Pelodiscus sinensis: one gene and its partners. The protein of the gene in region 1 interacts with the protein of each later gene in a biochemical or structural test. Links are inferred from orthologs where the notes say so. Each region holds a gene or a part of one and is shown in the gene's direction. Other genes may lie near its edges.

Evidence for each region.
Region 2: the proteins of ZBTB16 (region 1) and HBEGF form a complex in vitro, tested with the Homo sapiens proteins (2 studies listed by BioGRID). The link is inferred for Pelodiscus sinensis from reciprocal best matches to the Homo sapiens genes ZBTB16 and HBEGF.
Region 3: the proteins of ZBTB16 (region 1) and HDAC4 form a complex in vitro, tested with the Homo sapiens proteins (2 studies listed by BioGRID). The link is inferred for Pelodiscus sinensis from reciprocal best matches to the Homo sapiens genes ZBTB16 and HDAC4.
Region 4: the proteins of ZBTB16 (region 1) and HDAC5 form a complex in vitro, tested with the Homo sapiens proteins (2 studies listed by BioGRID). The link is inferred for Pelodiscus sinensis from reciprocal best matches to the Homo sapiens genes ZBTB16 and HDAC5.

Annotation. Positions count from the first base shown.
Region 1 is NC_134736.1:3,729,177-3,736,385, forward strand, and holds the start of ZBTB16 (zinc finger and BTB domain-containing protein 16), read left to right. Parts: upstream 1-4,205; 5' UTR 4,206-4,399; intron 4,400-5,887; exon of another isoform or gene 5,888-6,028; intron 6,029-6,091; exon of another isoform or gene 6,092-6,116; intron 6,117-6,220; exon of another isoform or gene 6,221-6,243; intron 6,244-6,549; exon of another isoform or gene 6,550-6,691; intron 6,692-6,725; exon of another isoform or gene 6,726-6,844; intron 6,845-7,030; exon of another isoform or gene 7,031-7,089; intron 7,090-7,112; exon of another isoform or gene 7,113-7,209. UniProt on the Homo sapiens protein: Acts as a transcriptional repressor. Transcriptional repression may be mediated through recruitment of histone deacetylases to target promoters. May play a role in myeloid maturation and in the development and/or maintenance of other differentiated tissues.
Region 2 is NC_134727.1:2,131,927-2,139,874, forward strand, and holds the start of HBEGF (proheparin-binding EGF-like growth factor), read left to right. Parts: upstream 1-4,940; 5' UTR 4,941-5,068; coding exon 5,069-5,111; intron 5,112-5,372; coding exon 5,373-5,552; intron 5,553-7,948. UniProt on the Homo sapiens protein: Growth factor that mediates its effects via EGFR, ERBB2 and ERBB4. Required for normal cardiac valve formation and normal heart function. Promotes smooth muscle cell proliferation. May be involved in macrophage-mediated cellular proliferation.
Region 3 is NC_134717.1:63,920,784-63,927,661, forward strand, and holds the start of HDAC4 (histone deacetylase 4), read left to right. Parts: upstream 1-3,872; 5' UTR 3,873-4,021; intron 4,022-4,029; exon of another isoform or gene 4,030-4,251; intron 4,252-4,443; exon of another isoform or gene 4,444-4,595; intron 4,596-6,878. UniProt on the Homo sapiens protein: Responsible for the deacetylation of lysine residues on the N-terminal part of the core histones (H2A, H2B, H3 and H4).
Region 4 is NW_027466028.1:523,642-531,611, reverse strand, and holds the start of HDAC5 (histone deacetylase 5), read left to right. Parts: upstream 1-4,960; 5' UTR 4,961-4,988; coding exon 4,989-5,166; intron 5,167-6,713; exon of another isoform or gene 6,714-6,873; intron 6,874-7,970. UniProt on the Homo sapiens protein: Responsible for the deacetylation of lysine residues on the N-terminal part of the core histones (H2A, H2B, H3 and H4).

The DNA of each region.
Region 1 (7,209 bases):
CCATTCGGGCAAAAGGGCCAGTGTAGACAGCTGAGATTTGTTTTCCACAAAAAAGCCCTGATCGCGAAAATGGCGATCGGGGCTTTTTTGCGGAAAAGCACGTCTAGATTGGCACGGATGCATTTCTGCAAAAAGTGCTTTTGCGGAAAAGCATCCGTGCCAATCTAGACGCTCTTTTCTGAAAATGCTTTTAACGGAAAACTTTTCCGTTAAAAGCATTTCCGGAAAATCATGCCAGTCTAGACGTAGCCATACAGACTAACTTGGCTACCTCCTGAAGCTTCTTTTGCTTATGGGGGTCAGAACTTCCAAGTCTTGTATTTGACTTGATTTGGAGGAGAAAATAAACCTTTATCTTAATTAAAACAAGAACCTGGGGGGTGAGAGGGAGGCAAGAGGAGGGTTACTGGTGGTTGAATCTGCTATTCTAACATTTTCTCTGCATACTGTATATATGGCCTTGCTGAAGGACAAGGGGCTGACTTGAAGGTCAAAAGCAAATCTTTTTCTTTCTTTTTTTCCATCTTCCTTATTTCATACCTTTCAGAATTGCTCTGCTTTTCACTTCCTTTATGGTCACTGATCTCTAAGGTATGTCAGCTCTGGAACTCAGTCTATGTGTGTGGAGGAGGATGTACATTCTGAAGGCAGACGGACTGTTTTCTGAGGAGAACTCTGTTGTTCTTGTTCTTGTCAAGCGACAGATGTTATTGACCAGGCTGTTAGAACAAAGCTAACGTATTGATAAATATTGGTTTAAATTTTTAGTATGGTCCATGGCTTCAAGCAATAAGTGGTTTCTTTACACTATTTGCATACACCAGGAGGCCAAAATATGGGTAGTGAACACAGCAACCTTTACTGTGATGGCTCACAGCACTGAGTGTGTGTCGGGGGTGGACAGGAAAAGGGTTGTGGGTAGACGGGGAGAGAGAGGTAGAGCTGACAGATGCAGATGTGAGGGAGTGCACGGTTTGGATCAGGATCAGACTCTGTTACCGAGTTGGCTAATTCCAAAGACGTCTTCAGATGTGGTGACCGTGTAAATCGAATTTCAGCTGAATGGAGCCCGCAAGAGACTGTAATGCACAGACCTGACATATTGTCTATATCCCAGGGCGGTCTGGAGGTCTGCTAGTGCTGAGACAGAAATGGTGAGAGACAATCAATGCCACCAAAGAGTTTGCCAGCTAGATATTTCCTAACCCAAGCTGTGAAAGATGGTTCTAGTTTGGGAAGGGTGGGCGGGCTGGGGGGTGACATTTGGCAACTAGACTTTGTTCCAATTTGGAATGAAAGCAAAAATGGAGATTCTCTGGAAGGGGTTGGTGCCATGGACCCTGGATGCCCAGCCATGGGATACACAGCTCGAAGGCAGTTCATCCACATGGCTCCTCAGCATTCAGGCATAAAAACAGGCCCCTATGTTCCACTTTGTCAGAACCAAACAGTCTCAGCAGAATGCTTCTATTTCAATGCATTCTGATGGGGGAAGAGAAAACAAATTTCACTCCAGTTTTCTGTCCCACTCTATCTGGTGATGTCTTTTGCAGGCAACATGGAGACGAAACGTCTGTAGGCAAAGAAAGTGCCTTGAAGAGCCTCCATGCATGATATAACCACGGAAAGAAGTGCATGGCATGCAAGGTGATGTTAGACTGTCAGACTGTTCAGGAGTCCATGTGGAAAAGGGTTTGAACCAGGTGCCCACAGAAAAGTTGCTCTCACCATTGACATCATTCACCAATTTGTTGCCTTTATTGACAGCTTCAGCAAAGAAACTTGGGACCGAATCAGAACTTTCTTTTCACCCCCCACTGAAAAGTCCCCTCCCAGGGAATGTGCAAGCTAATTCCCAAGGGAAAGATCTAACAGTTACTTATTAGATTGTATGTTCTTGGCCAGGTACTATCTTCTGTGTTCGTATGGCATCTAGTACCAAAGGACCTTAGACTCTACTGCAGTACAGATGATGAAAATAAGAATGCGCATTCATGAAGTTAAATAACTAGTCCCTTTGCAGTTACTAGTCAAGGGGAACTAGTCAGGCGAGTAAAGCGTATGCATGTGCATATGTGTTTGCACGGTCAGAGCTATGGAACAACGACCATGTTTAAATGTGTATTTGTACAACATCTACTAGCATGAGGGCTTGGTCCTGACTGGACAATCAGGACTTGGTCCTGACTGGAGAACCAATGTAATAGAACTATTAAGGCACAGCTTGACACTGGGGGAGTATTTAAGTGCACTGTGGTCTGAGCTATACCTAGTCTGCAGATGAATGAGAACGTCATTTGTAGGGTCATCAATCCAGTATCCTTTGAAAAACAGTGATAGGAATTAAGTCTTTTAAACAACTCAATAGCTTTTACATTATTTTTTAAAAAAGAAAAGTGAAATGCACCAGTTCCCAGGAAGGACTGGGGAGGGAGGGGGGTAATTTTCAGCATGCTGCCTGGGAATGTAGCCCTGGGAGATCTATTATTGCTAATGGGACTCATGCGGCTTAATTTCATGCAAGCTACACTAGAAATGTACCCCTAGCTGTCTGCGAAATTTCAGTTCTGAAATCAAGCCTCTTAAAAGTTAGAGCAGGATAAACAGACACCTGCAACTGCTCCTCTCCCTCCACCATGGATTTTTTTCTACTTTACAAAGCAAAACAAAAGACGCAATGGCTGTGCAGATTTAAGGAATTTAAAAGGGAGAGGGGGTCATATGCATGCAGACTGGCAGCCAGCAAGTGAAATTTCATTTTGCTGCCAGGTAAAATGGCAGAGTTATAACCCCTGAAATATGGGGTTTAGTTGATGCCTTATCTTTAACTATGCTACTGAGAATGCCACACTGTAATGCTTATGTAATAACCCTCAGTGCTGTCTCTTTCATTATAGGGCCTCTGTTATTAGGCTGTTCTTGTTAAATGACTGCTATCATCTGGTCCCAAAGTACATTAAATCCCATTATAATTATAAACACACTTCCTATAACATTCTCTTTAGATTACATTCACACTGCTTTATCCCTCAGGGTATCTTTGTACTAATACTATTCTTACTTGCTATTTTAGCAGACAATATTGGGTCCCACACTACTTGTACCATGCAAAGGGAGAAGGAAGCATTCCCATTACTGAGCAATATTTTGATGTCCCCTGGAAACGAATCTTGTCTCATTTATTTCAGGCACTCTCCCCTTTTATATAAGGAGGCCTGGCTTTTAAAATGTGTTGAACTTTGGCACCCTACTATTCTGGAGTTTATGAATTGCACTATTCCTATATCTCCATTCCAAAGAGTAGCATTATGAACAAGAAGTTTGGTTGAAACAAAAGACAGGACAATGTAGCACTTTAATGACTAACAAGATGGTTTATTAGATGATGAGCTTTCGTGGGCCAGACCCACTTCCTCAGATCAATTTGTGGAAGAAAATTGGCACGACCATATATACCAAAGTGATACAATAAAAAAAAGTGAACACATATAAAATTGACAAATCAGATTTTAGAACAGAGGGGCGGGGGCAAGGGGAGACGGTTAGTGTCTGTGAGATAATGATATTATGCTGTTCATTTCTCTCTTTCTATTAAAAAAAAAGATTTTTTTTTGCAGCAAATCTTTGTCCCTGGAGTTTCACTGCCATTCTTATACAACAAGGAGTCCTGTGGCAGCTTAAAGAAGAACCATTTTATTATAAGCTTCTGAGGGATAGCTGAATTAGTCCCTAACTGGAAAAACTTAAAAAACAATGAATAGTCTAGCAGCACCTTGGCAACTAACAAAATGGGTAGATGGTATCATGAGGTTTTGTGGGTACAACACACTTCTTCAGGTGACTGGAGTATTAGAAGTCCAGATCCAAGAATAAATAAGGGGGAAGGGAGAAAAAAAAGAGGAAAAAAGAGTGAATTGAATTGTTCAAGTTACTAGCGTTTACAATTTACAACTTTCCTGAGTTGTAAGTTGCAACTCACGTCATCAGTTCCTGCCCTTTCTATACACGGTGCTTGTTTGGAATAGTGTCTTTATCTGGGCAAAACAGCCCATATCAAACTGGCGGGTACCTAATATTTGGCACTTTCCAGCCAAAATTTGGCACCATGCCCATGGCTTGTCTTTGTTACTTTCTCCATCTCTCAAACTCAGGCACCCTTCTCCCTGCAACACTTGCTAGCAAGAGGCTGGGCGTTCAAAGCGCTGAGTTTATTAAGCAAGGGAGATTTTTTTTTTTTTGTACCAGGAATCTGGGGGCTCGTCTGGCTTTGTCTTGTTTCAAGTGGCTTTCTCCGGCCTGAGGCCTAATTGAAGATTAGGATCGGGGGTTAATTGTGTATTTCTCCGCTGGGGAAGATCGGATGCTTCCTAGGGCGAGCCTGCCGCGAGTTAAAGCCATGGTGAGCGAGGCTGGCAGCAGACGTCCGCACCGCCGCCTTATCGCTCGCCTCGACGCAGTTGTCACATTAGAAGTTCAACAAGTTGAAAACGTCTCTTGTGTAGCGTGGCTCAGCCAGCGACACCCGCACGCTGGTTAGGCGGGGTTCTTTTCCGATGTACGGATTTCATGATGAGCACGCGGGGGTCTTACCCCCCTCGCTGCTGCAGCCCCGGCGCTGGGGTGCGTTCCTGAAAGCGGAGCGTGTGTGCACCGGGGGGAAGGACTGGGAGCCTGAGCTCCGAAGCGGGTGCCGCGTTGGCCGGGGGCGAATTGGAACCCGGCTCCGCGGGCGGGTGGGTGGCTGAGCCCCTTGGCTCCCGCCCTGAACGAGCCGCGGGGCGGTCAGGGGCCCAGCCGGGTGCGTGGATCCCCTGCGGGGCAGAGGCGAGGGGGAGGCGAAGGCGATCGCGGGGAGGCGGGGGCTGGCTCTCAGGCAGGTGCCGGGACGCAGCCGGCGGAGGGGCTGGGCTGGGGGCGAACGACCCCTCCCGAGCCCCACCACCCAGACCCGCTGGGGACACGGTCTGCGCGCTGCTCCCCTAGCGCCCCTCGCCCGCCCCGTCCCCCCGGCCCAGGCCGGCTGGCGCGCAGGGTGCAGCAGGTGCTGGCCCGGCGCGCTCCGATCCCCGCGGGGCCGCTCCGAGCCGGGTCGCAGGCATTGGCTCCGGTTCATTGATTCCCCAAGGCAGCCTCCTGCTCCTCCATGTTTGTTGTTGGCAGAGGCCAGCGGAGCCAAGCGCTGTCCAGCAGCCCGCGGGATCCGCGCCCCCTCCCTCCCCAGCCCCTGCGGCCGGTCCCCAAAGCCGGCCGCCGGGCCAACCCCGCGCTCCCCCCCTCCCCTCCATGCAACTTTTCGGTGACTTCCCTTGGGCTGGGGCAGGAGCGGGACCAAGGGTTTTTCCCCTCTCCCCCCGCCCCCAACTCCTGGGGGCTGCTCGCCTCTGCCCGGGGCTTGGCGGAGCAACCCGGGAAGCGACGGGGCTACAACAGACCCCCGCTTTCCTCTTGCTGCACCCCTCCCCCCGCGCTCCTGCAGAGCGGCTCGCCCCTGGCTACGCGGGGTGCCCCCTGGCTACTTAGTACCCGCAGCTTCCCCCCCCCCCCCCTCAGCGCGGCTGCTTCTGCCCCCGGGAGCGGCCCCGACTCAGCAGGATCGGGGCCTCGGCCCGTTTGCAGCTCCCCCGCCCTGGGCAGGACGAGCTGAGCGACGCTTGGAGCGTGTCCTAGCGCCGCTGCCTTGTGGAGGCCGGGCCAAGGCCGGGCGGGCTCATGGGCTGGCGAAGGAGGGATGCTCGGCGAAGCTCGTTCCCACCCGTCTCCCTCCCAATCCGGAGTCTAATTCGGATGGCTCGGAGCTCTGGCCGGGTCCTGCCGCGGGCCGGAGCTTTGCGCGTCTTTACGCTCGGAGCCCGGTGTCCTGCGCCTTGCGCGAGCCCCAGCCCAGCCTACCCGTCCCGCCGTGCAGCGATAGCGCTGGGGCCCCGAGCCTCCTGCCCCCGCCAGCCGCGTGGGAACGGGCGGCGCCAGACCGGGACCTCGACACAGCTGCCTGGCGCGAGGCAGGGACTCAGTCCGGAGGATGCTCGAGGTGCCCGAAAATCGCTTCTCCCGAGCTGGCGCCCTGAGGGGTCCGGCGTGGGGGGGGGGGGGGTAACTCTTCCCTCCCCTGCTGCCAGGTGTGAACCTGTTAGTACCCCCCCCCAGCGCAGTGTGGAAGGGCCGGGACTCGCTCCCGTTCCCACTCCAGCTCCAGAGGCGCCAGCGGGGTCCCTGGAGCGTCCCGAGTCCCGCTGCGCTCCCAGGGTGGGTGCCCCCCTTGGAGAACCTCCTGGCCCGGGAGGCGTGGGAAGTTTTCCGCTCCAGCATCTCCCCGGGTCAGGCGGGCGGCTCCCCGCGCCTGGGAAGCGGAGACCCCCCGGCAGCCAGGGCGCGCCGCGGAGGGAGGGGGTGGGGGGCAGAGCCTGGCGGGAGGCTCGGGGCGGGAGCCGGGTGCGGGAGAGCGGTGTGGGCACCAGCCCCGTGCCAGCAGTAAAGATGGTGCCCGGCCCGGGCTTCGCCGGGGTGGGAGCGGCCCTGACGCGGGGCGCCAGCCGGCGCGTCAGTCCGCGCGGTGTTGATTTGCTAACCTGCGAGCAGAGAGCAGCGGGGCAGGATGAGAGCGGGCACTGCGAACTGCCACATGCCGCCGCGGCTGCCCTAGCCAGCCCCGGTCCCGCACGGCGGCGGGGAGGCGCCTGCCATGCACTAGCCCGTGAGTGCCGAGGGGGGCGGCTTGCAGCAACTTGCTCCGCGGGGCGGGGGTGTCGGGGGGCTGCTCGCTCGGATGCCCGGGCAGGAGCGATGCGCGGAGATACGCGGGCTCGCCTGTCAGCGCTGCGCCTGGCCGGTTCTCCCTCGGGGGAAGGTGGGGGCGAGGGGACACGGGGGGGGGGGTTGCAATGGGCGGGGGGGGGTTGCAATGGGCGGGGGGGGGGCTGTGGGTCGGGGGGGCGCTGGCAGGAGGAAGCGCAGCGGTTGTTGTGATGTTCCGGCGGAGAGAAACATGTAACCCCCCCCCCCCCGTTATTTATTTGCTGCTTGCGGGGGGAGGGGGGAGCGGTTCGGCCGCCCCGATGCGTTCCGAGAGAGGAGGCTCCTTTCGGGGCCGGGGTGGGTGAGCCGGGGGTCGGGGGAGCGCCCTGATTTTGGTTGATGGCTTTAGTTTTGCAGCGCCGGTCCATGTGGGGGGCTCGTGCGGGGAAAGTGTCCGCCAGGGCCCCTCCGCTCCCT
Region 2 (7,948 bases), on another chromosome or scaffold:
GCAAGAAGATTTACAGTACGACGTGGGAAGAGAGGGCTTCTTGCGCAAGAGCTATGCTCTTTTTTTACAAGTGTAAGACTTCTTGCGCAACAGCTCTTGTGCAAGAGGGCAGTGTGGCCGCGTGGCAGGTGTTTCTTGTGCAAGAAAGCCCTATGGCTAAAATGGCCATCGGAGCTTTCTTGCGCAAGAGAGCATCCACACTGCCATGGATGCTCTTGCGCGAAAGCACATCTCGCACATGGCAGTGTGGATGTGTTCTTGCACAAGACTTCTTGCACAAGAACCCTTGCACAAGATGTTCTTGCACAAGAACCCACCAGTGTAGACGTAGCCTCTGTGTTTTCAATCTGCTTTTTTTCAGTGGCTCTGGAACACCTAGTAACCAAGTCTGCTTTACGAAATACACTGCTTTTATGAACAAAACACCGGTTTAAGGCTGTGAGCCGATCCCTGTGTCCTAGAAGGCAGGAGGTTCTGTGTGCACATGCCTGAGACCGAAAGGTGAACTATGAAGAAATTACAGGTTGGGTGTTTTTCAAGCTCTCTGTGCAGGGAAGTTAGAGAGCTTGGGGGTGCCCCACAGGAAGTAATTCCCAGGGAGGTGACGGCGGGTTAAGGGAGAGGGGAGGGGATTTCCGTGCAGACTTTTTGAGTCCCGGTTTGCTGCTGGGCTCCCTGGATGCGGGTGGAACACTTGAGATGTTTTGGCAAATTATCAGCCCTTCCAATCTCTCCGTCCTTGCCCAGCCTGGCGCGGAACCGCGGAGACTCCGAGCCCCAGCATGCAATGCTGCTTTGGACTCTGACCAGCGCAAGCAGGTGCGGACTACACGTGAGGAGCAGCAGCAAGCGTTCGCACACAGAGACCAGGATTGACCCAGGGTCTCGGGAGCAGAGCGGCAGAGCCATGCCCAGCAAATCAAAGGGGCAGCTCCTTTGTGTCCCACGCTGTGTCCTGTGCCAGGGCAGGCAGCCCGAACACCTGCCCCCAACCCCACCGGTCAAAGATGTCACACGCTCCACTGGGATTTCACCGGAGCGGTGCAGCAAGCCACTGGGGAAAGAGCCTCCGCAGACGCAGTTACATAACATGGGAAATCAACATGCAGAGCCTTTGGGCCAAGCCAGTGCAGAGCTGCTGGAACGGGAGTGCGGTGATGAAATAGGCTTTTCTGCGTTGTAGGCGCTGGCTGCCAGTCTGTATGCCCTGATGTGGCGAGGAGGGACCGGAAGGAACAGCACTCAACAAACAAACCATTACAACGCTCAAGTCTGGGCAAGACACAGGGCGTGGACGGGAGTTGCCAAATCCGGTTGTATTCCTTAGAGACGACGACAGCAACTGTAGGGCTTCGTAGTCACACTCTTAATGGGCCTCTCTGCACCGAAACTGACACCCAGGTTTGGGGCCTGGGAATTCCAGGAACAAGCCGAGGGGTCAGGGAATGACTCAGGACAATGCAAAGCAGCTCTGCTTCCCCAGCGCTTAGCCTCTGCAGGGTTCACTGATAAGCCTCCCAGAATGGGATCTAGGCCAAACGCAGGGTCTGGCACCAGCACCCATGGCTGGACCATACACATTTGGGGTCATCCACAGACAGTGATCCTGGGTACGTGTCGGGCACAGTGGAAGCAGCCAAAAGGGAGGGGGCTGGACATGGAAGGAGCCATGAACATGGGGTGTCAATATGGACAGCCCTCTGGAAGGGCTCTTCATCCAGGCATGGAGCTGGGGACAGGAGTTTGGTCCCTGGGCAAGAAGGATCACCACTATTTCTCCAGTGGGAGCCACTTGCCCAGGGAGTTTGTGGGGCCTCAGGGGCAAAAGTCGCTGGAGTCCTGTTCCATTGACTCGGTGACGTCATGTGAGCCAAGCGCCCACTGCGCACTTCATACAAACTGCAGAGACCCCCAGGCAGGGGCGACCCGGGCTCGGGGAAGAATTCTCTGCCGCAGGAGCAGCTCAGAGCCAACATGGGGCCCGGGGGCAGGGCTGTGTCTGAAGGCTGAAGGGGAGGTACCCATTGAGGGCTTTGGAGATTCTGCAGCCGGTCCCTGGGGCTAATTGTGCTCCCGCAGTGCAGGGGTGGTGTAAAACCCGCTTTGTCCTGCCCCCGACTGTGCTTCTCGGGAAGCGTGGCAGGAAGACTGCCGTTCTGGGGTCCTGTCTACACTACGGGAGAAAGTCGAACTAAGGTTCACAACTCCGCTCCGAGAACAGTCGAATTTCCGCGGCATCCCCACTGCAGGAGGACGATGGGCGAAATTCTCCCATCAAGATCCCTTACTCCTCGCAGCCTGGTGGAGAACTGGAGTTAACGAGTGCACCGTCAGCGGTTGATTTAGCGGGTTCTTACGAGACCCCCAAAATCGAACCCAGGAGATGGATCTCTGGCGTGTGGATCTCGGGAGACATGAGGACGAGCCCCGAGTCTATGAACATGACATTTGCAATGGCAAGAAAAACACCAACGTCAACATGCTCAGGGGAAGATGGGAAATGCCGGAGTGGATCAGACCATGGTCCTTCTAGTCCAGATCCTGTCTCTAGCGATGGCTGGTGCAAGAGGCCTCAGTGGAAGGTGCAGGAACCTGGCAGATGTAGAATAATTTGACCCCCGATTAGGTCTCATAGTTAGCGATTGCCTGAGGCACGAGGTTTTATCGTCCTTTTCTAGACCATTCGGTATTTTAGAAACTTTTATCACAACCTCTCCTGTTGGTGCCACTCTAAGGTAACAGTCCCTAGCTTTTCAAACTCCGCACAGGAGAGTTTTTCCAGGCCTGAGTCAGACTTGTGGGGATTTTCTGACCCTCCTCTAATTCTGCAGAATCTTTCTGAGCTGGGACGATCCGACCTGCACCCAGTATCTAGACGAGGCTGCACCGCTGGTTTACATAAAGTCATGAGTCTCCCTAGTTCTCTATCCCATTCTCTCTGCTATCGAATGTCTTGCAGCTGCCCAGCGAACAGAGGCTCCCACTGAGCTGCCGACAGTGGTCCCCAGGCTGCATGGGCGAAGCAGCCGCCTGTAGAGCTAGCCATCTCGCTGCTCTGCACAATTAACAACATTGTGACTCGCCATTAACACCATTCTGTGCTTTGCTAACATCTTTTCATGCAAAGATCTCACAGCGCTTTACTGGGACTAACAGTTTAAGCCTCACGACAGTCTTTTGGGGATTGATTTGTGCATTCATCTCCTTTACCCACCAGTGAACTGCAGTGCCTTCTTGGGTAGAGAACCACAGCTGTCTGACCACTAACAGAAACAATTCCTATCAGGAAGTGAACAAACACCAAGATCCTGCTGCTCTATTATCCCCACCCCTTGTGGAGTCATTCGTATTGGTGGAAAGGGAGTGCAAACAGGGTATAAAATCCAATCCGATTGGTAGCTGGGGCTGGGCCAAGCTAAATACCAAAGTTGGGCAGTAATTTCTTTGATCACCCAAGCCAAGGTTTTATATGCATCATACATAAGATGACACTTGTAACCGAACAGCACCTGGGAGCCCCACACTGGGGCATGGCTCAGAACTGACTGGGAAGAAGGCTGCTGCTACCTACAGAATCAGCACCATCAGCCACACAAAGTGTCTTTGGAGTTCGCCTGCTCCGGAGAGCAGATCGGATCAAGTAAACGATGCTGCGGCATTCCTCTCCCTGGCTGGCTCGGTCACCCTGGTGAATGCCATTACTTCCCATTTAGCAATCCTGAATTTCATCAGCCATTTTGTTGCCCTGACACCCTGTTTTGTGAGATCCCTTTGTAGCTCCTTGCAGCCTGCTTTGGACCTATCGATCCTCTGTCATTTGTATTGTCTGCAAATTTTGCTGCTTCACCGTTGACCCTTTTTTCCAAATTGTGTATGAATACGCTGGCCAGCACCAGTCCCGTACAGATCACCGAGGGACACCGCTAGAGACCTCTCTGCATTGTGCAAACTGACCATTTATCCCTACCCTTTGTTTTCTGTCTTTTAACCAGTTACTGATCCAGGAGAGGACTTTCCCTCTGACCCCAAGACAGCTTCCTTTGCTTAAGAGCCTCTGGGGGGGAACCCTCCCACAGTCTGAGTACACTATATCCATTGGCTTATCCTTGGCCACATATTTGTTGGGCTGCTAAAAAAATTCTCATGGCTTGGTGAGGCAGGCTTTCCCTTTAAAAAAAAATAGATGAGTCTTCCTCCAAAATAGTGTGTTCACCCATGTGCCTGATCAGTCTGATCTTTACTCTCCTTTCAACCAGTTTGCCTGCTCCTGAAGTTAGGCTCACTCGCCTGCAATTGTCAGATGGATTCTGGTGCCTTTTTAACAAAAATCCCTCTCACACCAGATACCTCCAGTCCCCGGTCCAGAGGCTGGCGTAAGGCACAGGCGAGATACCAGCGCCACTATTTCATCAAGTGTGTATTTCAGCCCTTTCCAAATACCACCTGGTCCTGGTGACTGATCGCTGTTCGGTTTGTCATTGACTGGGTCGGTTCCCCCATGCCTCACCAAACAAGAGAGGCTCCGGGGGATCCCCTTCCTGCCATCCTGGGGGGGAAGAACACAGAATTGAGTTTCTCGAGAGTCCCTTTGGCACCCGCTCTCCAGGGGCCTCTCCACTGTTTGTGGCGCAGGCGCCCTGCTGATGGAATTGGTTTAGTCTCTAGGGTGCTAGGACCCAGGGTGGGTTTTATTGTGTTAAGTTACAGACTAACCGCCCCCCCCCGCCCCCCCGTGTTGCGTCTTTCGCTACTTGCCCTTCGCCTTCTTTCCTGGCCTGATTAGTCTTTGACACTTGCAGAGTGTCCCCCCCCCAGGAAACCCGCTGCCTCCCCAGCGCCAGCTCACTAGGGAATTCCCCTCCCAGCCCCGGCCCGGCCAGCCGTGGGCGTGACAGCAGCCGGGCCCCACCCTCCAGCCTCTACCCCCCGCGCGGGCCGGGGCCGGGCCCAGAGCGCTCTTGCGGCGAGCGGACACGTGTGCGCCCGGGCCGAGCAGAGCCGCCTGGCGCCTGACGCGAGCTCCCGGGGCGATCTCAGGGCCGAGCCCCGCGCCGGGCAGGGCAGCGACATGCAGCGGCTGCTCCTGGCTCTCGGCGTCCTGCTGGCGGCAGGTGAGGAGCGGGGCGAGCGGCGGCTGCGCGCAAAGTTTGTTCCCGACCGGGCCGGGGCGCGCCGGGCGCTGGCCCCGCCGCAGCCCGGTCCCCGGCCGGTGCCCACGGTCCCGGCGGGCGGGAGGCTGCGCTTGCGTAACGGGCCGGGCCGGGCCCCGCGGGAGCCGTTCGCAGCCGGCGGCGGGGCGCGCACCAGAAATGCCCGGGCCGGGGCGAGGTGCCCGGCGCTGTCCGCTCAGCAGCGCTTCTCTCCCTCCGCAGGACGCTCCGCAGCGGCGCCCGGAGCCGCGCTCGAGGTGCTGCGGGGTCCGGGCTCCAGCGAGGCGAGCGGCGGCCGGTCCGTGGCCCCAGAGCTCCGCAGCGGGCAGGGGCTGGAGGAGGAGCGCGCCCCGGACGGCGGCAGGGTCTCGTCGGGGGATTATTTCCTGGAGCTCCCGAGAGGTGCGTGTGTGCGGGCGCGGGACGGGCAGAGCCAGGTGGCCTCCCTGCGGGCGGGCGGGGCAGCCGGGCCGGATCCGGGGGTGGGGGCCTGAGCGTCATGGACCCCACCTTGCTCTGGGCGCCGGGCTCCCTACGCGGGGAGGGACCCGCTGGCCCCCGGGGAGGGAGTCGGACGTAGCCGAATTCACAAGCAGGTGCCTCGCTTCCCGCGTGTCCCGGGACTCCGCCGGCTCCCCGCGCTGCTGTGGAGTTGGGGGGGGGGGGGCTCGCACGGGGGCCTGGCTTGGGAGATCGGGGCGGGGCGGGGCCGGGCCGGGGGCAGGGGGAAAGTCTTGTAAGTCTGGGCTCTGCCCGAGCAGGAGCGGCCCCGAGGGTAGCCGGGGGGCCGAGCTGAGGCTTTGCCTAATGTGGCACTGCCCTGCCGGTGGGAATTGGCGGGGGAGGGAGCCAGGCCAGCACGTTCCCACGGAAATTCCTGCTCCCTTGCTTTGTGCGGCTCGGTTGTTTTTAGCAGTTCCTGGGCGCTGGCTCTTTGCCGTCCTGTGCCCCGGGAGTGCCCTGCCCCTGCCCCTGCCTGGCCCCCGCTACATTCCCGGTGACCCCCCAGCCCAGCACCGCCTCTCCCGTCCCCCTGCCGGGCTGCCTCAGAGGGCCCTGCTTGCCCACCCCCAGTGCGTCCCCCGCCCCGCCAGCTGTTCTGAACAGCCCTGGGGTGGGAGGAGACTGCAGGGGCTCCCCCTCCCCAGGCCCTGACTGACCTGGGGGCAGCAAGGGGGAGCATGTGAAGTCTCTTGCTCCCTGCCCCACCCTGCAAGGGGGCACTGGGCTTAGAGTCACCCCCCAGGCGCAGCTGGTGACCAACTTCCACTGCTGAGCCTCTGGCAGGGCGGGAGGAGACTGGGGGTCCCCCCAAGCCCTGATCGACCGGAGGGGGGGGAGTGTGCGATGTCTCCTCCTGCCCTGCCCCCGTCCTGTGGCGCTTCTTAGCAGCGTGCGCCCCGTCTAGGACGGGAGCAGGGCGGGAGGAGGCTTCGCATGCTCCCCCAGGCTCCGATTGGCCAGGGGGCGAGGGGGGGAGCACGAAGTCTCTCGCTTGCTGCCCTCAGGTGTGTGGGGCTGTCGACCGCCAGGGCGGACTCAAAGCGCTGCCGGGGCCCTAGGCTCTGATTGGCCGGGGGAGTGGGGGAGCGGCAGGGCCTCCGTGGGCTGGATGAAACTGATTGGTGGGCCCGCGGAGGCCGTTTTGCCCCCTATGCCCTGGGGCCCCTTCCCAGGCCCAGCACTCAGTCCCTGGCCACGGGCAGCCATTGGTAACGTGTAATGGCTTGAAAACCCGGGGTCCCATGGGCGCTGCGCACCCCTCCTGGGAGTCTGTGCCAGGCGTGGGCTTCCCGCCTCGGCAGGATGGTCCCCAGGTCCCCACAGGAAGGTCTGGGACTCCGCGTGGCTCCATGCAGCTGAGAGCATTGCATGCCACCCCTCTGAGCGGTCACCCCGGGAGTCACTCCCTGCCGCCCACACCCCTCCGATCAGCCGGGGGTTAGTCACTGAGCGGGGGGCATTCGGGTCCGGCGTCGCCCTGCTGGGCTCTGCCCATTCGTGTCTGGGGTCTCTGGGTGGCCACTCCCCTTGAATCCAGCAGCAGAGGGGGCGGCAGCGTGGTCGGGGGCAGGCTTTGAACAGAGACACGCTCGGACCTGGTGCTCCCAGTGTGACCCCACTGAGGTCACTCACTGCGCCCACGCAGGCCGCCTGCCTGCCGCGCCCTGACACTTTTCCTCCTTCCCCGCCTTGTCATGGTTCCTCTCCAGCTCTGACGTGGGCCCAGCTTTGCAAAACCAGGCTAATCTATTGCACCACAGGGGCTGGGCTGGAGAGACTCATCCCCTCTCCCGGCCTGTCCTCATCGCCAGCCTTGCCCCTCACTTCTCCTTTCCTGCCCATTCTCTTCTCACCGCCGGCTCTCACAGCCCCCAGCCCTCCGTCCGGAGGCAGCCCCAGAGATGTCTCGTTAGGAGGGGCGCTTGGATACGACCCCCGCACCCCCTATGCTCTCTAGGAGAGCGCTTCTCGGGGGCGGGGGTTGCACCCACTGGGGAAGGGAAGGGAGGGTCCTCAGGAGCAGTCGCTGACAGAGGGCACACCTGGCGCCCCGCATGGCCTGGCCCCCCCTGGGCATTTTCTCTCGCTAAATGACGTGGGTTGGTCGGTGCCGCCCTTGGCGCCAACCAAGAGGATTGTGACACTAGTTGAGGAAGGGTGGCCCGGGGGGATGGGTTGACACACACAGCTGGAGGGCGTCCTCTGTTCCTCCCTGGCCTTGGACGCCTCCCTCAACCCCCCTCTTCCTCGTGCCTCTCGCCGCTGCGTCATGCCCAGCGGAAGGCAGCTGGCCG
Region 3 (6,878 bases), on another chromosome or scaffold:
ATACATCCATCAAATCTTGAAGACAATAGCTATACTATAAGGCATCTTCTAGGGTACAATTCTCTTTTCTGCTGTCACCTTTGTGTGGTACTCCAGCACTGCAAAAAGACCGTGAAGCTAGCAAATCTGGCCAGTTGGGAATTCCTTCAGAAGTAGAGCTAGTCAGAGCCTAGGTCCCAGCCTTCAGCTCCAAGCACAAGGGGAAATATCCAGAAGAAATGGGATACAGGCAGTGTATCAAGGCTCCAGTTATGTTCAGATGCTGGAATGACCCCTTTTAGGGCAGTGAGCCTGCTCTAATTATGCTAGTGACCAAAACACCTCCCAACTGAACCCTAAAATGGAGCCACTAAAGTGGACGTAAATCAACCTTGGTCCTGCATTGATCACAGCTCAATCAGACCCATACAGGAACTTAAAGCACCTCCAAATCTTATTCTGTGAATTGTTCTACCAGCTATTAATAAACTGTAACACCTAAGTTACTTAGGTCCAGATCCTCCAAAGTATTTAGGCACCTACATATCTTTCAGAATCTGAGCCTTGTCCCCGTCTCTTAGCAATTAACACACAAAAAAGTAAAATGCACACTGATGCAACTTGGCCCAGAACTAGCTCAGAACCAAACCCAAAATTTCACCAACTAAAGAAAATGAGCAAACAATCCACCCCCCCTGCCAATATAAACTAGAAAGGAAACAAAAAGGGGCTTCCGCCTTATGCAGAGTGCGTCCAGTTGACACGGCGCAGTGACGATACTGCGGTCAGTAGAGCTAAGTACATTGACTTCCGCTACTTTATTCGTGTAGCCGAAGCTGCATAACTTAGATGGATCTCCCATGGTAGTGTAAGCCAGGTCTTTGAGTCAGAATTGGCATGTGTATGTGGAAGAGGAGGAGTTTTGGGGGGGGGGAGGTTGTTAAAGGTTGCCATTGGCAGGGCTCTAGGCACACAGATGACATTGTTTAGGGACAGGAATAGCCAAACTGGCATGAAAATTCAACTCAAACAGGTGCCACACATGCCGGTGCTTCCTGTGCACATCCACCCCACTTGCACTGACTTTATACTCCCCCACTGCCCAATTCACCTTCATAAAGGCTCAGCTAACTCAAACTTCAACCCCATTCCACACCCCCTCACATTCCACATGCGCCTTCTCTGCACTCCATCACATTCAGCCTTCCCTCAGCCATGCCCCCTCTGCAGCCTCGCTGACGTCATCCCGAGCCCTTGCTGTGCTTATTGCACACACACGCATTTCCCCCCCATCCACCAGTGAGTGGAGGTGGATCTGGAGTTGGATGAGGGAGAGCCTGCCAGAAGACCTCCTGTGTAAGCTGAGGGGCAAAGGAGCTCAGCCCCTGCTTTGAACAGAAAGTACAGGAGTGGCTTAACTTACCCTCTAAGCTTCAGCCAATAATTTTTTGAAGTTCAAGAGCCACAAGACATACTCAATCTGCCCCACCAGGTGGTGCATGCCTGGGCACAGGGCTAAAACTCTTCCACCCCCAGCTCCCTGCAGGACAGAATCCTGTAGTCCCACCACCCCACCCAGTCTGGTAGGCAGAGAATGGGGTGCATGTGTGCGTGTGTGGGGGGAGCTGTCTTAGGGATTCCTTGCTTTCATGTGGCGAATCCTGCCAAAAATTCCTGCCAAGCTCTGCCTGAGCTCCAGTGGGTTGGGGCAAAAACAAGGACTTTTCTACAGCGCTGTCAATTCTTGCAGTGTTATCAAGAGTCGTGATAGTGGGTTTTCTTAAAAACCTCAATGCCTAGCGTCCCGTGGTGTGACAGTCTCAGCTTTCATTTAAGGAGCATGTTGCAAGCCCTTGTGATTTTCAGAGACGCATGACCGTGCAAACTCTGACAATGTGAAATCAGAAGGTACAGAAAATGACCAAACATTTAAAAAAATCTCAGGATTTTTAAGCAAATTCTGTTGATGTGGGAAGGAAGGCTTGACTCATGATCTTTGAGCTGTTGGAGTTCAAAGACTAGTTAGTACACACTCCTTGGAGGATTGAGGAGGAACAGCATCCATCTTTGGAAGCCTCCTGTAGATGTGAGAGGTTGTCCAGCTACTCGCATCCAGGAGACATGCGAGGGAAAGGGCCACTCTTCCTGACTCTTAAGGGCCATGATAGTCTGCAACATCCTATGTGGGGTTTGGGACAACCACTAGTTAAAGGGGACAGGGTAGTGGGACCTATGGCAAACAGCTGTTTGGACTCCGGAGTGCCAAGAGCTATGTGGGAGGGATGAGGCACCAGGAAGAGGAAGGAATGGTGGCACAGGGATGGGAGGGCATGCAGGAGTTAGTGCAGGATGGATGGGATGGTGGGGAACATGTTGTGGGAAGGGACAAAACAGAGGCTGGTGCGGGGGGGGGGGCAGTGGGAGTAGGAGTGATGTGGGGAGATGAGGTGGGAGCAGGAGCTGGTGCGAGAAGGATCCAGTTCTGGGGGGGGCAGGGTGCCAAGGGGGGGGCTGATGTGGGGAGGGGGATGGGAGCAGGAGGGGAACGGGGGCTGATGTGCAGAGAGGGATGTGGGAACGGGGGGGGGGAACTGATGTGGGGAGGAACACGGAGGGGGGCTGATGTAGGGAGGGGGCTGGAGGAGCGGGGGGCTGATGTGGGGAGGGGAATGGAGGAGCAGGTTGGCTGATGTGGGGAGGAGGCTTGGAAGGGGGGTGCTGATGTGGGGAGGGGCCGGAGGAGCAGGGGTGCTGATGTGGGGAGGGGATTTGGGGGGAGGGCTGGAGGAGCGGGGGGGCTGATGTAGGGAGGGGCCTTGGGATGGGGGCGCTGATGTGGGGAGGGGGTTGGGGGGAGGGCTGGAGGAGCGGGGGGGCTGATGTAGGGAGGGGCCTTGGGAGGGGGGGCGCTGATGTGGGGAGGGGATTTGGGGGGAGGGCTGGAGGAGCGGGGGGGCTGATGTAGGGAGGGGCCTTGGGATGGGGGCGCTGATGTGGGGAGGGGGTTGGGGGGGCTGATGTCGGGAGGGGTTTTGGGAGGGGGGGCGATGTGGGGAGGAGGTTGGGGGGCTGATGTCGGGAGGGGTTTTGGGAGGGGGTTGGGAGGGGCTAATGTCGGGAGGGGTTTTGGGAGGGGGGGCGATGTGGGGAGGAGGTTGGGGGGGCTGATGTCGGGAGGGGTTTTGGGAGGGGGGGCGATGTGGGGAGGAGGTTGGGGGGGCTGATGTCGGGAGGGGTTTTGGGAGGGGGTTGGGAGGGGCTAATGTCGGGAGGGGTTTTGGGAGGGGGGCGATGTGGGGAGGAGGTTGGGGGGGCTGATGTCGGGAGGGGTTTTGGGAGGGGGTTGGGAGGGGCTAATGTCGGGAGGGGTTTTGGGAGGGGGGCGATGTGGGGAGGAGGTTGGGGGGCTGATGTGGGGAGGGGTTTTGGGAGGGGGCAATGTGGGGAGGGGGTTGGGGGGCTGATGTGGGGAGGGGTTTTGGGAGGGGGGCGATGTGGGGAGGGGGTTGGGGGGCTGATGTGGGGAGGGGTTTTGGGAGGGGGGCGATGTGGGGAGGGGGTTGGGGGGCTGATGTGGGGAGGGGTTTTGGGAGGGGGCGATGTGGGGAGGGGGTTGGGGGGCTGATGTGGGGAGGGGTTTCGGGAGGGGGCGATGTGGGGAGGGGGTTGGGAGGGGCTGATGTCGGGAGGGGTTTTGGGAGGGGGGGCGATGTGGGGAGCCGGGGGGGACAAGGCGGTTTCTCTACGGCCCCGCCCCCGCATCGCGCGCGCCGCCCGGCTCCGCGGCCCATCCCCCCTCGTGCCTCATGGGAGGGGGAAGCGGGGGGGGGGGGGAAGGTGCTATAAATAGCCGCCGCTTCCTGATTGGTGCAGGGAAAACATGGTCGCACCACGTGACTTTCCATCTAAAAATTCCAAAATGGCGGATCCCATCACGGGCTGAGTCCGTTGGTGGCGCGCGCGCCGCTGTGTCCGCCCCGCGCCGGGCCCTCCCCGTGGCTCGCCGCCGCCACCGCCCCGGGCGCCCGCCGCCGCCGCACAGGTCAGTACCGGCTCCGCGCGCCGCTCCGCCGGGGGCCGCGCCCGTGGGGAGGCGGCAGGCGCGGCGCGGCCCCTTTAAGGCTGCGGGTATTTTTGTCCGCCTGCTTTTTCGCTCTGCGGAGGCGGCTCGCGGCCGCCGGACCCTTAAAGGGATGGGCCGCGCACGGCTATTTTTCTCCCTGGCCGGAGCGAAGAACCGCGGAGGGTTCCGGACCAGGGTTTGATGGGCAGGTCGGAGCACCAATGGGGGGCGTACTTTCCGCAGTGGCGGGTGCATTTGAGCCGCTTGAAGGGTCACGCTCTGCTGCGATTGGGCGGCAGCGCGGGGAGGGCGGGCCCGCGAGTGCTCGCCAATAAGGGCGGACGAAGGGGTGCCGGGGGCGGGTGGCGAGGTGACTGACCCCCGGCGCGGCCAGTCAGCGCGGGGCGCGGCGGGGCCGGGGGTTTTTGTGAATGGGGCGGGCGGGGCCGGGGCTGTGGTGTGTCCCGCCCTCGCCGGCTCCCGGCGGCTCCGCCCTCTCTGGAGCCGCGGTGCCGCCTCGCTGCGCGCGGGGCTCGGTGGGGCGCTGCGGCCGGTGAGTGCGCGGGGAGCGGCCGCGCCAGCGCGTGTCGCGGGGCGGGGCCGCCGGTCGGTCCGGGGGCTGCGCGTCCGGGGGGTGGGTGTGTGTGGGGCCAACACAAGGGATGTGTGGGGGGGGCACACGGGGTGTGTGTGGGGGCTGGAACGCGGAGGGGGGGGGTGTCCATGTCCACGTGTGTGTGTGGGGCCGACATAAGGGGTGTGTGTGGGGGGCCAGTACCTGGTCTGTGTTTGTGTGTGTGTGTGGGGGGGGCAGCATCTGGGGTGTGTGTGGGGAGAGAGGGGGGCAGTCCGGCACCTAGTGTGTGTGTGTGGGAGGGGCAGTCCGACACCCTGGGTTTGTCTGTGTGGGGGAGGGTCTGGCACCGGGGCGCTGTGTGTGGGGGGGAGGGTCTGGCACTGGGGCGCTGTGTGTGGGGGGGAGGAGGGTGTCAGGCACCCAGGCTGTGTGTGTGCATGCATATGCATGTGTGGGTGGGGTTTTTTGTGTGTCAGGCTGGCACATGGGGGTGTGTGTGTGGGGGCGGGTTGTCTGTGGCGTGTGTGCGGAGGGGACTGTATGTTTATCGGACAGCCACACATGGGATGTATGTGTGTGTGCGATTGGGGGGGATGGAATTGTGTGTTTGTCCACAGTCACTTGTACATGTTGGGTAGCATTTGTCTGTCAGGCTTTGGCTCTGTTGTGTACGGGGGAAGCTGTGTGGGTCAGTCTGTCCGATACTTGCTGTCTGTGCGGCCCACCCGTTGCTGTGTTTGTGTGCAGGGGTTTGGAGGGCTGAGTGCCTGTCTCTGTTCAGCAGTCACTGGTGTATGTGTGTGGGGGAATTGGTAGGCTGTCACGGGCACTGGGGGTGTCTGTGGGGGGGAGAGTGTTCCTGCGGCAGGGGGATCCTTGCAGATGGAAGTAGTGAGGGTGTGGGTGTACTCATGTCCCTCCTACTGCCCTGCCTAGAGAGCTCCCTCCCTAGCCAGTGCAACAGTCTGTCCCTTTCAGCCATTTACTAGAGAAGACGTGCTCTCTGGAGTGGCAAGGGTGTGGGCGGGGGGTTCTGGCATAAGAAAGGTTGAGCTCACTTGTGAATTGATGAAGCTGTTTAGAATTCTTCATTTTAAGCCAATTTAAAACAAAAGTCAAATTTGTCCTTTAGTTTTACCCCCCCCCCCCAGTGAGGGAGGGAGGGAGATATATATTTTGGGGGTGGGTGGGTGTGGGTGTGTGTGTGTGTGTGTGTATTATATAATAAAATAGATAGGTAGGATAATACCTATTACGTTTAGAAAATATGCAAATATATCCTCTTTCTGACTTACGAACCAGTTACTGACCAAGCAAGTGGGTCGTAACTCGGTTTGTTCGTAAGTCGGACCCCATTGAGTTACATGTGACTGCGCTGTTCGTAAGCGCGGATTGCGTTCCTAACTCAGGGTCTGCCATTTACGACAGTTTTGGTCGTAACTGCGAACAGTCGTAAGTCGACCATTTGCAACTTGGGGACCGGCTGTATTCCATTGGATAAGATAGGACTTTGGATGGTTCAGTTATTCATAACCCAGAACTAAAATATAAAAGCGATTGCTGGATAAAGAAGCGAAGACAGCTCTTTAAACTGTAATTAATTACTGCTTTGACTGCGTAGTTATAATAGGGAGATGGCACACAACTGAGTTGTGGTGGCCTGTGTTCTTATAAAACTTCTCAGAATCTTTTCTGGCACCTTCTGCACATGTGCCTGTGCTAACATGATGATGGCCCACAGTGTACATGCTTCGCTAAAAAGTGAGTCTATCGAATGCAACACCCATTAAAAGGAGCTCTTTTGATTTTTTTTTTATGGTAACCAAAATTCATCGTGGTTAAAGTGTGGACTTGTAAAAGAATCTTATGCATTTCATGCTTATGATAGTTTTTATATCTTATGTTGTATTATCTTGTTTGAGATATTAGTAAATTAGCATTACAAAATTATGCTTGTCCACATACGTGAGCCAAATAGACACTTATCAATTGGCAAACCATAAGACAGAATTATTTTGTTTGGTAAGCGTAGATAGTTTTGTGTAACAAATTTTCATGATGACTTCAAGGCTGTTTCTATACTGTTAACATACAACACAAAATGACTGTATCAAAGGAAACTTACAGGTAACATTCTGGCCCATACACTGTGCCTTGTTCCCTTTTCCTTCTGATTTGCTGTGTGTTTAAAATGGAGTTTTACTGTATAAAATGTTGGTTTGTGCAACAATTGTCATGTCATAGTTTAAAAAAAATCAT
Region 4 (7,970 bases), on another chromosome or scaffold:
CCTGGTCACCGCAAGCAGCTTCCAGGTCCAGAGGAGGTCCTGGTAGAAGGCCGGCAGCTCAGAGAGGTTTCGCAAAAGACCTCTCATATAAAGGAGCTGCTGGTCATATCGGAACCTTCGGAAGTGGTGAAGGAAAGCAGGTGCCAGCATGCTCCATGCTGGACTACCTGCATCATATAGGAGCCTCCGCAGGGCCTGGAGGTGGAGGACACGGACACGCATGTGCAAACATGTCAGGCCCTTCCCTCCCTCCTCCAGGGGACTGAAAGTGCTGCCCTGTAGTTAAGGTTGCCTACCATTTTCCATTTTAAAACCCCGTTCCTGGTTGCTTATAACTTGTGCCAAATTTTAACGGGTGGGACCGAGATTTAGAGCCCTGCACAGATACTAATGTCTACCCATGGATGTAGATATCCGTAGATAGACCTCGGGATCTGCAGATCAGCAGGGAGCTACTCCAAAGAGACACTGCAGCCAATGGAGAGAAGCGAGGTCCTGGTGTGCACAGGAGCCAATGCACCATGCTGGCAGCACAGTTGTTCTGCCCCCAGCTGCGGTGTCTCCCGTCTGGGGATGTACAGCCCTGCTGGTGACCAGGAGGAACGGTACAGTCACCCAACCAGGAGGAGATTGTGATGGACCCTTCCCCGTGCTTTATGAAATGGCTTTATGAACACCAATATACATGACTCAAAGATGCTTCGGACAAATTAACTCATGTAACCTTGTCATGGCTCCTTCCCCACTCTGGCACGATAAATGCAGAAGTGGGGGCCAGCAAAAGTACCCCAAAACCTTATCTACCAGGCTTTGGTATAAAACTTCCCCCCAAAATCTTAACCTAGATTTTGGGGATAAAAATTCCGCTGCCACCACCCAAGTATTGATACAAAAATCAGGGGAGAGATCACTTGGGAAATCTCATCCCTAAAGTACAAACTAGGACACAAAAATTAATCCATACCAGGTTAATAAAAATAAAAGAGAAAAAACTTTTATTATCACCACAATATTCCTGTTGCAAGCATAATGACTAGATGGAAAAGTAGCAAAATAATATACTAATGGAGGAGAAATCTACCACGGGCCAGGAACTTAGTTACAAAGGAGAGCAAACCCATTTTTAAATGCACAGACATCAGATCCCATTTCCCAAACCATAAAACAATAAAACCTAACAGATTTATCTAAACTTTATCCTACTTACAGACGTGAAGAGTATTTTCTTAGTGGGAGACATCCTGTTCCCTTCAATAGCTGTAGAGAAACTCCCAGAACAAAAAGAGAGAAAAACCAAAAATTCCTTTGTCCCAGTTTGAAATTCCTACCTGCATTCCTATTGGCTGAATGCACCTGACTTAGGTAAGGTTAACCCCTTAGTTCCCAGGCTGCTGGCTAACCCTCATGATCATGACAAACCTATCAATCTTCATGTCATAATCCACTGGATCTCTTTATCTTATTCTGGTGTATGTATCATTCTTGTGTGTAAAACTAGATGCATGGAGTATGGGATTCTTTATGGTTTTAAATGTGCAAAGGAAAGCCATCAAGAGTGTTTCCAATGCTGGGATGCTTCAGTGTCTGGGCAGTCATATGTAAGTTGCCTTTTGTCCTTAAGTCTTAGCAGGGGTTTGTCTTAGGAAGTCACATGACCTCCCTAACTAGTAGCCTGTGTCTACACTGCTGGGTTTTTTTGGAAAAAGATACGCAAATTGCGAACTGAAATTTGCGTATCTTTTTCCGCTTGTTTTTTGGAAGAGGCTTTTCCGACATTTGGCCCATCTACACAGGACCAAAAGTCGGAAAAACTTCCTCTTTCGGAACATTCCTTATTCCTCATAAAATGAGGAATACAGAGATGCTGACAGAACATGCCCACGTTTTCAGAAACTGTTCCGAAAATGTGAACACATTCCCTGGACGCGGCAGAGTTTTTCCAGGATAAACTCTGCAGTCTAGACATAGCTGTAGGGACTGGTCAGGTAACTTCTCATGCAAAAATGGGAATCTTTAAAACAATAGGAAACTAGCGGGTCTTTGTTTTTGGCTGGCTGGCATTCCACACCCAAGGCAAGGACCCAAAGACCCCAGGGTGAGGAGCTGCCCTGGTTTGAAGGCTTACTAGGAAAGGAACAGTTTTAGAGTGAGTTTGTAATGAGTTTGTACCGGGGTTTTAGTGTTAGAATTAGCTAAGAGTTTTCTGTTATTTTAAGTTTGTAATCTACTTTGCTCTGCCCTTTCTCAATTATTGCCTCTTAAATCCTACTGCTTGTACTTAATAAAATCACTTTTATTTACTATCAAGCCTAGTTTAAATAATTGTTGCCTGGGGGTAGCCAGTGTGTACATTCCCCCTTTCATTGTTAAAGGGGATTCACCTAAATAATTCCTTTGGAGTTCTGATCCCATTTGGGGAGTGGTATCCTGGGAAGCTGGGCCCCAAACTCCATTTCCTTGGACCTCAAGGCTATGTCTAGACTGGCATGATTTTCCGCAAATGCCTTTAATGGAAAAGTTTTTCCGTTAAAAGCATTTGCGGAAAAGAGCGTCTAGATTGGCATGGACGCTTTTCCACAAAAGCACTTTTTGCGGAAAAGCGTCTGTGCCAATCTAGATGCGGTTTTGCGCAAGAAAGCCCCAATCGCCATTTTCGCCATCGGGGCTTTTTTGCACAAAACAGTTTTTAGCTGTCTACACTGGCCCTCTTGCACAAAAACATTTCCGGAAAAGGGCTTTTGCCTGAAGCATTTGCGCAAGAAGCACTGATTTTGGACAGTAGAACGTCAGTGCTTTTGCGCAAAATCAAGCGGCCAGTGTAGACAGCTGGCAAGTGTTTGTGCAAAAGCCATTGCTTTTGCGAAAAAACTTGCCAGTCTAGATGCAGCAGAAGAGTTTTAGTGTTAGTACTGCTTCTCGGGGGAAGAAGGAGCAGTGATCTCAGCTCTGGTCCTTGGCTGGGGGAGACCAGGAGCTGGCCCAGCAGGACAGAGTGGTAAGAAGCTAGATGGCAGGAAGGCAAGTGGCAGTGGTCTTGTCAGCACGCTGGGAAACCCTCCCAAGGAGTCTTCTGTGACTGCATCCCATCACAGAGATGCTGACATGGGGCACTGTCTCTCTGGTGTGATGGGACCACGCTCCTCTTCATTGGCCAAAGTGTCTCTTGGGGGTAGAACCCTGCTGATCTGTGGATCCCGATGTCTATCCATGGATATCCACATCCGTGAGTAGACATTTGTATATGTGCAGGGCTGTACCAATGTTTTCTATGCCAGGTTATTGACCTCAAGCTGAATATTTTTGTAAAGTTTCACCTAAAACAGTTCAGACATTTCCCAGAATAAGATGAGGGGAAAACAAATGGGTTTGTTCATGTTAAAAGACCTCTTACAGCTATTCAAGAAGCTGTAGTGAAATTTGGCAGGAGGATCAGGCTGGAGTCAGGGCTGTGCCTTTCACCAGCTCTGTGAAAATGTGCCAGGCTTTGGCCTCTACAAAAATGAAATTTGCACATACTCTGTTAAAAGTATTTGCGCAAAATAATGCCAGTCTAGACGCAGCCTGGTTGTTGTCTCTCTGTGCCTCAGTTTCCCATCTGTAAAATGGGGATTATGGGCCCTCTGACTGGGTCTACATTCATGAGCATCTGTGGCATGCTCGGCTAACTGCTGCGAGAGGTGCATAGAAACACACACGGACCGTGTTGTGCCCGTGTGAGGTTTGGGGGGGGATTGCATATGGGCTGAGGCAGAAAAGCAATAGGGATAAAAGAATGCATCCAGGCCTGAGTGGTGAATGCTGCGTGCATGTTTGGGGATCAGGCAGCACAAAGGTTGCCCTGGGGGAACTTTGTGAGACATGTTGCTAACTGTGGAGCATTAGGCTGTGAAACTTCAATGTGTCCCCAAGGGGCGCCCTACTAGCAGGGCCCAGCTGGGCTTGCACCCCCATCTTCCGCTGGCCCTAAGGGCGTCCCGCTAGCCGGGCCCAGCTGGGCTTGCACCCCCCCAATCTTCCACTGGCCCCACGGGCGCCGCGCTAGCAGGGCCCAGCTGGGCTTGCACCCCTATCTTCCGCTGGCCCTAAGGGCGTCCCGCTAGCCGGGCCCAGCTGGGCTTGCACCCTCATCTTCCGCTGGCCCTAAGGGCGTCCCGCTAGCCGGGCCCAGCTGGGCTTGCACCCTCATCTTCCGCTGGCCCTAAGGGCGTCCCGCTAGCCGGGCCCAGCTGGGCTTGCACCCCCATCTTCCGCTGGCCCTAAGAGCGTCCCGCTAGCCGGGCCCAGCTGGGCTTGCACCCCCATCTTCCGCTGGCCCTAAGGGCGTCCCGCTAGCCGGGCCCAGCTGGGCTTGCACCCCCATCTTCCGCTGGCCCTAAGGGCGTCCCGCTAGCCGGGCCCAGCTGGGCTTGCACCCCCATCTTCCGCTGGCCCTAAGGGCGTCCCGCTAGCCGGGCCCAGCTGGGCTTGCACCCCCATCTTCCGCTGGCCCTAAGGGCGTCCCGCTAGCCGGGCCCAGCTGGGCTTGCACCCCCCCCATCTTCCAGTGGCCCCACGGGCGCCCCACTAGCCGGGCCCAGCTGGGCTTGCACCCTCATCTTCCGCTGGCCCTAAGGGCGCCCCACTAGCCGGGCCCAGCTGGGCTTGCACCCCCATCTTCCGCTGGCCCTAAGGGCGTCCCGCTAGCCGGGCCCAGCTGGGCTTGCACCCCCCCAATCTTCCAGTGGCCCCACGGGCGCCCCACTAGCCGGGCCCAGCTGGGCTTGCACCCTCATCTTCCGCTGGCCCTAAGGGCGTCCCGCTAGCCGGGCCCAGCTGGGCTTGCACCCCCCCCCCATCTTCCGCTGGCCCTTTAAGGCCGCGTGGGTGACGCGCCTTCCTTCTTGGAGGCCCCGCCCTCGGGGGACCAGGCAAAGGAGGGGGAAGGAGCGGAGCAGGCAGGCTATTTTTAGCCCAGGGTTCCGTCACGTGACGGGGAGTGACGTCACCGAATGTTGTTGTTGGTGGTGGGGCGCGGAGCGGGCTGCGCGCAGAGCCAGCTGCAAAGATGGAGGAGCGGAGGCGCTGGCGGTGAAGCCGCGGGCAGCCGGATCCCTGGCGCGGAGGGGCTGGCCAGGGCACCCAGCCAGGCGGGGCCCCGCTGCAGCCGCCCACCGGCCTGGGTAGCAGGTAAGGGGGGGGCCGCCCCCAGGGGACACAGGGCGAGCGGCTCCAGCGCCTGCCCCATGCCAGCGCCGGGGAAGGGCAGCCGGCTCGGCCCGGGCCCCGGGCAGGGGTGCAGGGCGAAGCCCCCTTTCGAACGGGATTGCACCTGCCACAGAGAGAACGGGGCAGCCAGCCTGGTCCAGGTCACTTGCCCGGCTGCGGGCTCTGGGGCAGGATATTGGCCGGCAGGGAGCGCTGAGACATGGGTGGGTTACTGGGGCTGGCTGCTGCATTGGCACCCTTGGGGGTGTTTGCTAATGCACCTGCCCGAGACTCTCCTCCTCTTGCGGGGAACGGGTTGTGGGTGGGGGCCAAGGCAGGGGAGCAGAGGCTGTGCCTGTGACACAGAGCGCTGGTTATGAAACGGCAGCGCTGTCCGCATGGTGGGGTGGGGGGATCCTGCCTCCAGTGCAGATGGTGCTCAGGACTGGCTGAGCTCCAGTTTGGGCTGTGTGTATGTCTGGGGTAGGTCGGGCTGGGAGGATGCGCCTGGGGCTGTGAGACGGGGTGTGTGCCCATCACACCTCACTAGCCTGGGCTGAGGAAAAGCCACTTCTTGGAAGCAAAGAGTGGCATGTGGCTGTCGATGGGCAGAGGTGCTGGGGGTAAGGGAGGACCAACACAGGCTGGTTTTTCCTCTGGGCCTTTAAAGAGGGGGTCATTCTGGAACTCCACAAGGGAATGCATGCTTTTCCACCTCCTCTGCATCCTCTTGTGCCTGGCAGTTGCAGCTTCTTCAGGCTAGTGGGCGGGAGTGGGGAGGGAGGCCTGCCTCCATCCTTAGATCCCTTTGTCTGGAAACCTGCCTTGTAGGAGCTTAAACTTTGTGCACCCCGTGATGCCTGCATGGGAGATCAAGAGGATGCAAAGCTTGTTCAGATGCATGAATGCCCTCCTCCTGCCCCTTGTTTTGAATCAAAATCTTGTCTCTTGACCTTCTTGCTAGAGGGCTTGGTGCTTCTTTTCCCATCTCTAGCTGGCCTGGGAGTGGTGGGAGAAGGAAAATGTGTGTCTGTTATTGCCTGGGAGACAAAGGTTTGCTGATGCCTTGTCTTGCACGCTAGCCGTGTGCTATAAATACCTAGGCAGAGGGAGTGCGCATGCGGGGGGAATGAAAAGGGTCCTGAGAAGCGGCAGTTGCCCTTAAATAATTGATCCTTCCTACTTGCATCTTTTGGAGGAGGACCATCTGAAATACTGCAGCGCTCCCAGCTCCCTGATGGGTGATGATTTTTGTTTGCTCGGTGCCAGACCTACTCTGCTAGGGGATAAGGTGCAGTAGCAAGTGCTGGTCTTGGGGCTCTTTTCCCTTTTGCTTTTGGAGCCAGATTGTTTCTCCGGTGCGGGATGATGGGAGGGGTAGGATTTACTCCCGGACCTGCTCTCCCTTCTTTCCTTCTCCATCTGTGCCTTGTTATTCTTGCAGGTGAAATTGCAAAATGGGGCCATGATAGGAAAGGCATTCCTCTGGGAAAATAGGTTTGCTAATGGGTTGTCTGTGTTCCTTTCAGATCAGCATGCCAGGACCAGCATATCTCTGTGCTGCCAGTGGGGAGCCAGACTTTGCTCTCAGCCACGCTGGTGTAAATCAGGACTAACACCATTGACTTTGGCAGCATTGCTGTGCATTGATGCAGGTGTGGCTGAGAGCTGAACCTGGCCTGTGAGCAGGTACGCATGGTGCAGTAGGCAGTCTGGTGACCCCCATGGGATCATAGAGGTTAGAGTTGAGAGACTGGTCAAGTGCCATCCAGGGCATGTGGGAATAGATGACAGGGCTCCCCTCTCCTTCCCTCACATAGCTGGCTGCCGGGAAATATTTCCTAGTATTCATCCTCGTTTTTTCCCCCCTGCATTCCTGTCCTCCTTGCGTAGTGACAAATCCCTCCCTCCCTGTGTGCTTACACCCTTTCGGATGTCTGCGGAGTATTACTATTTCTGTCTGCCTGTTGTTTAACTCTTTCAGCTGTGAGGCCGCACCCTTCGTTATTTTGCTTCTCTTCTCTGAGCTCCCTTCTTGCTAGCTCTGTACCTTGGATAAGGTGTGAGCCTCCAGATTCAGTCACTCCTGCCTTGGAGGAGGAGAAGGGTTATAGAGATCTCAGTTGGGATCAGAGCCTCATTGTGCTGACAGCTGGACCCTCTCACCATAAAAGATAGGCCTGCTCAAAGGACCTTATAGTCTGAATGGGGGCATGGGCAGGAAGGGGTTAATGCCAAGATGAACATACAGTTCCATACACAGCATTGAGAAGGGACTTTGGTCGAGTGGTTTGAGCTGGGGGGGATTGGTAGGCAGGACTCCTGGGTTCTAGCCCTTGCCTTGGGAGGAGAAGGTAGTCAATGGGTTAGAATGCAGATGGACATGACTCTTGCTTTGTTTCTCTAATTTAGACAGAAATTAATGAAAGGAAGTCCTGTGGCCTGTGTGATATGGGGTCTTGGCCCAGAGGGTCACAGGAATCCCTTCTGGGTCTGCCGAATGAAATGCTTGTTAGTCCCAAAAGCTCAGAAATCACCAGATGGGCATAATAAATCTCCCAAACTTTTCTTTTTTTTTAAACGTTGGGTTCTTATTATTTGACTTCCAGTTTTTCTGCCTTTTGGGGCTTCATTTTTTCAAGCTTCTCTTGGCCACCACAAGGAGCAGAGAACTATCAAGGTAAATGAAGGCGGAGAGGCTCCTGCGTTCACGCATCTCCTTTCAGAAAACAGTGGCTGGTTGCAAGGCAGGCAGGGAAATCCCAGGTGCTGGCAGGGCTGTGTGC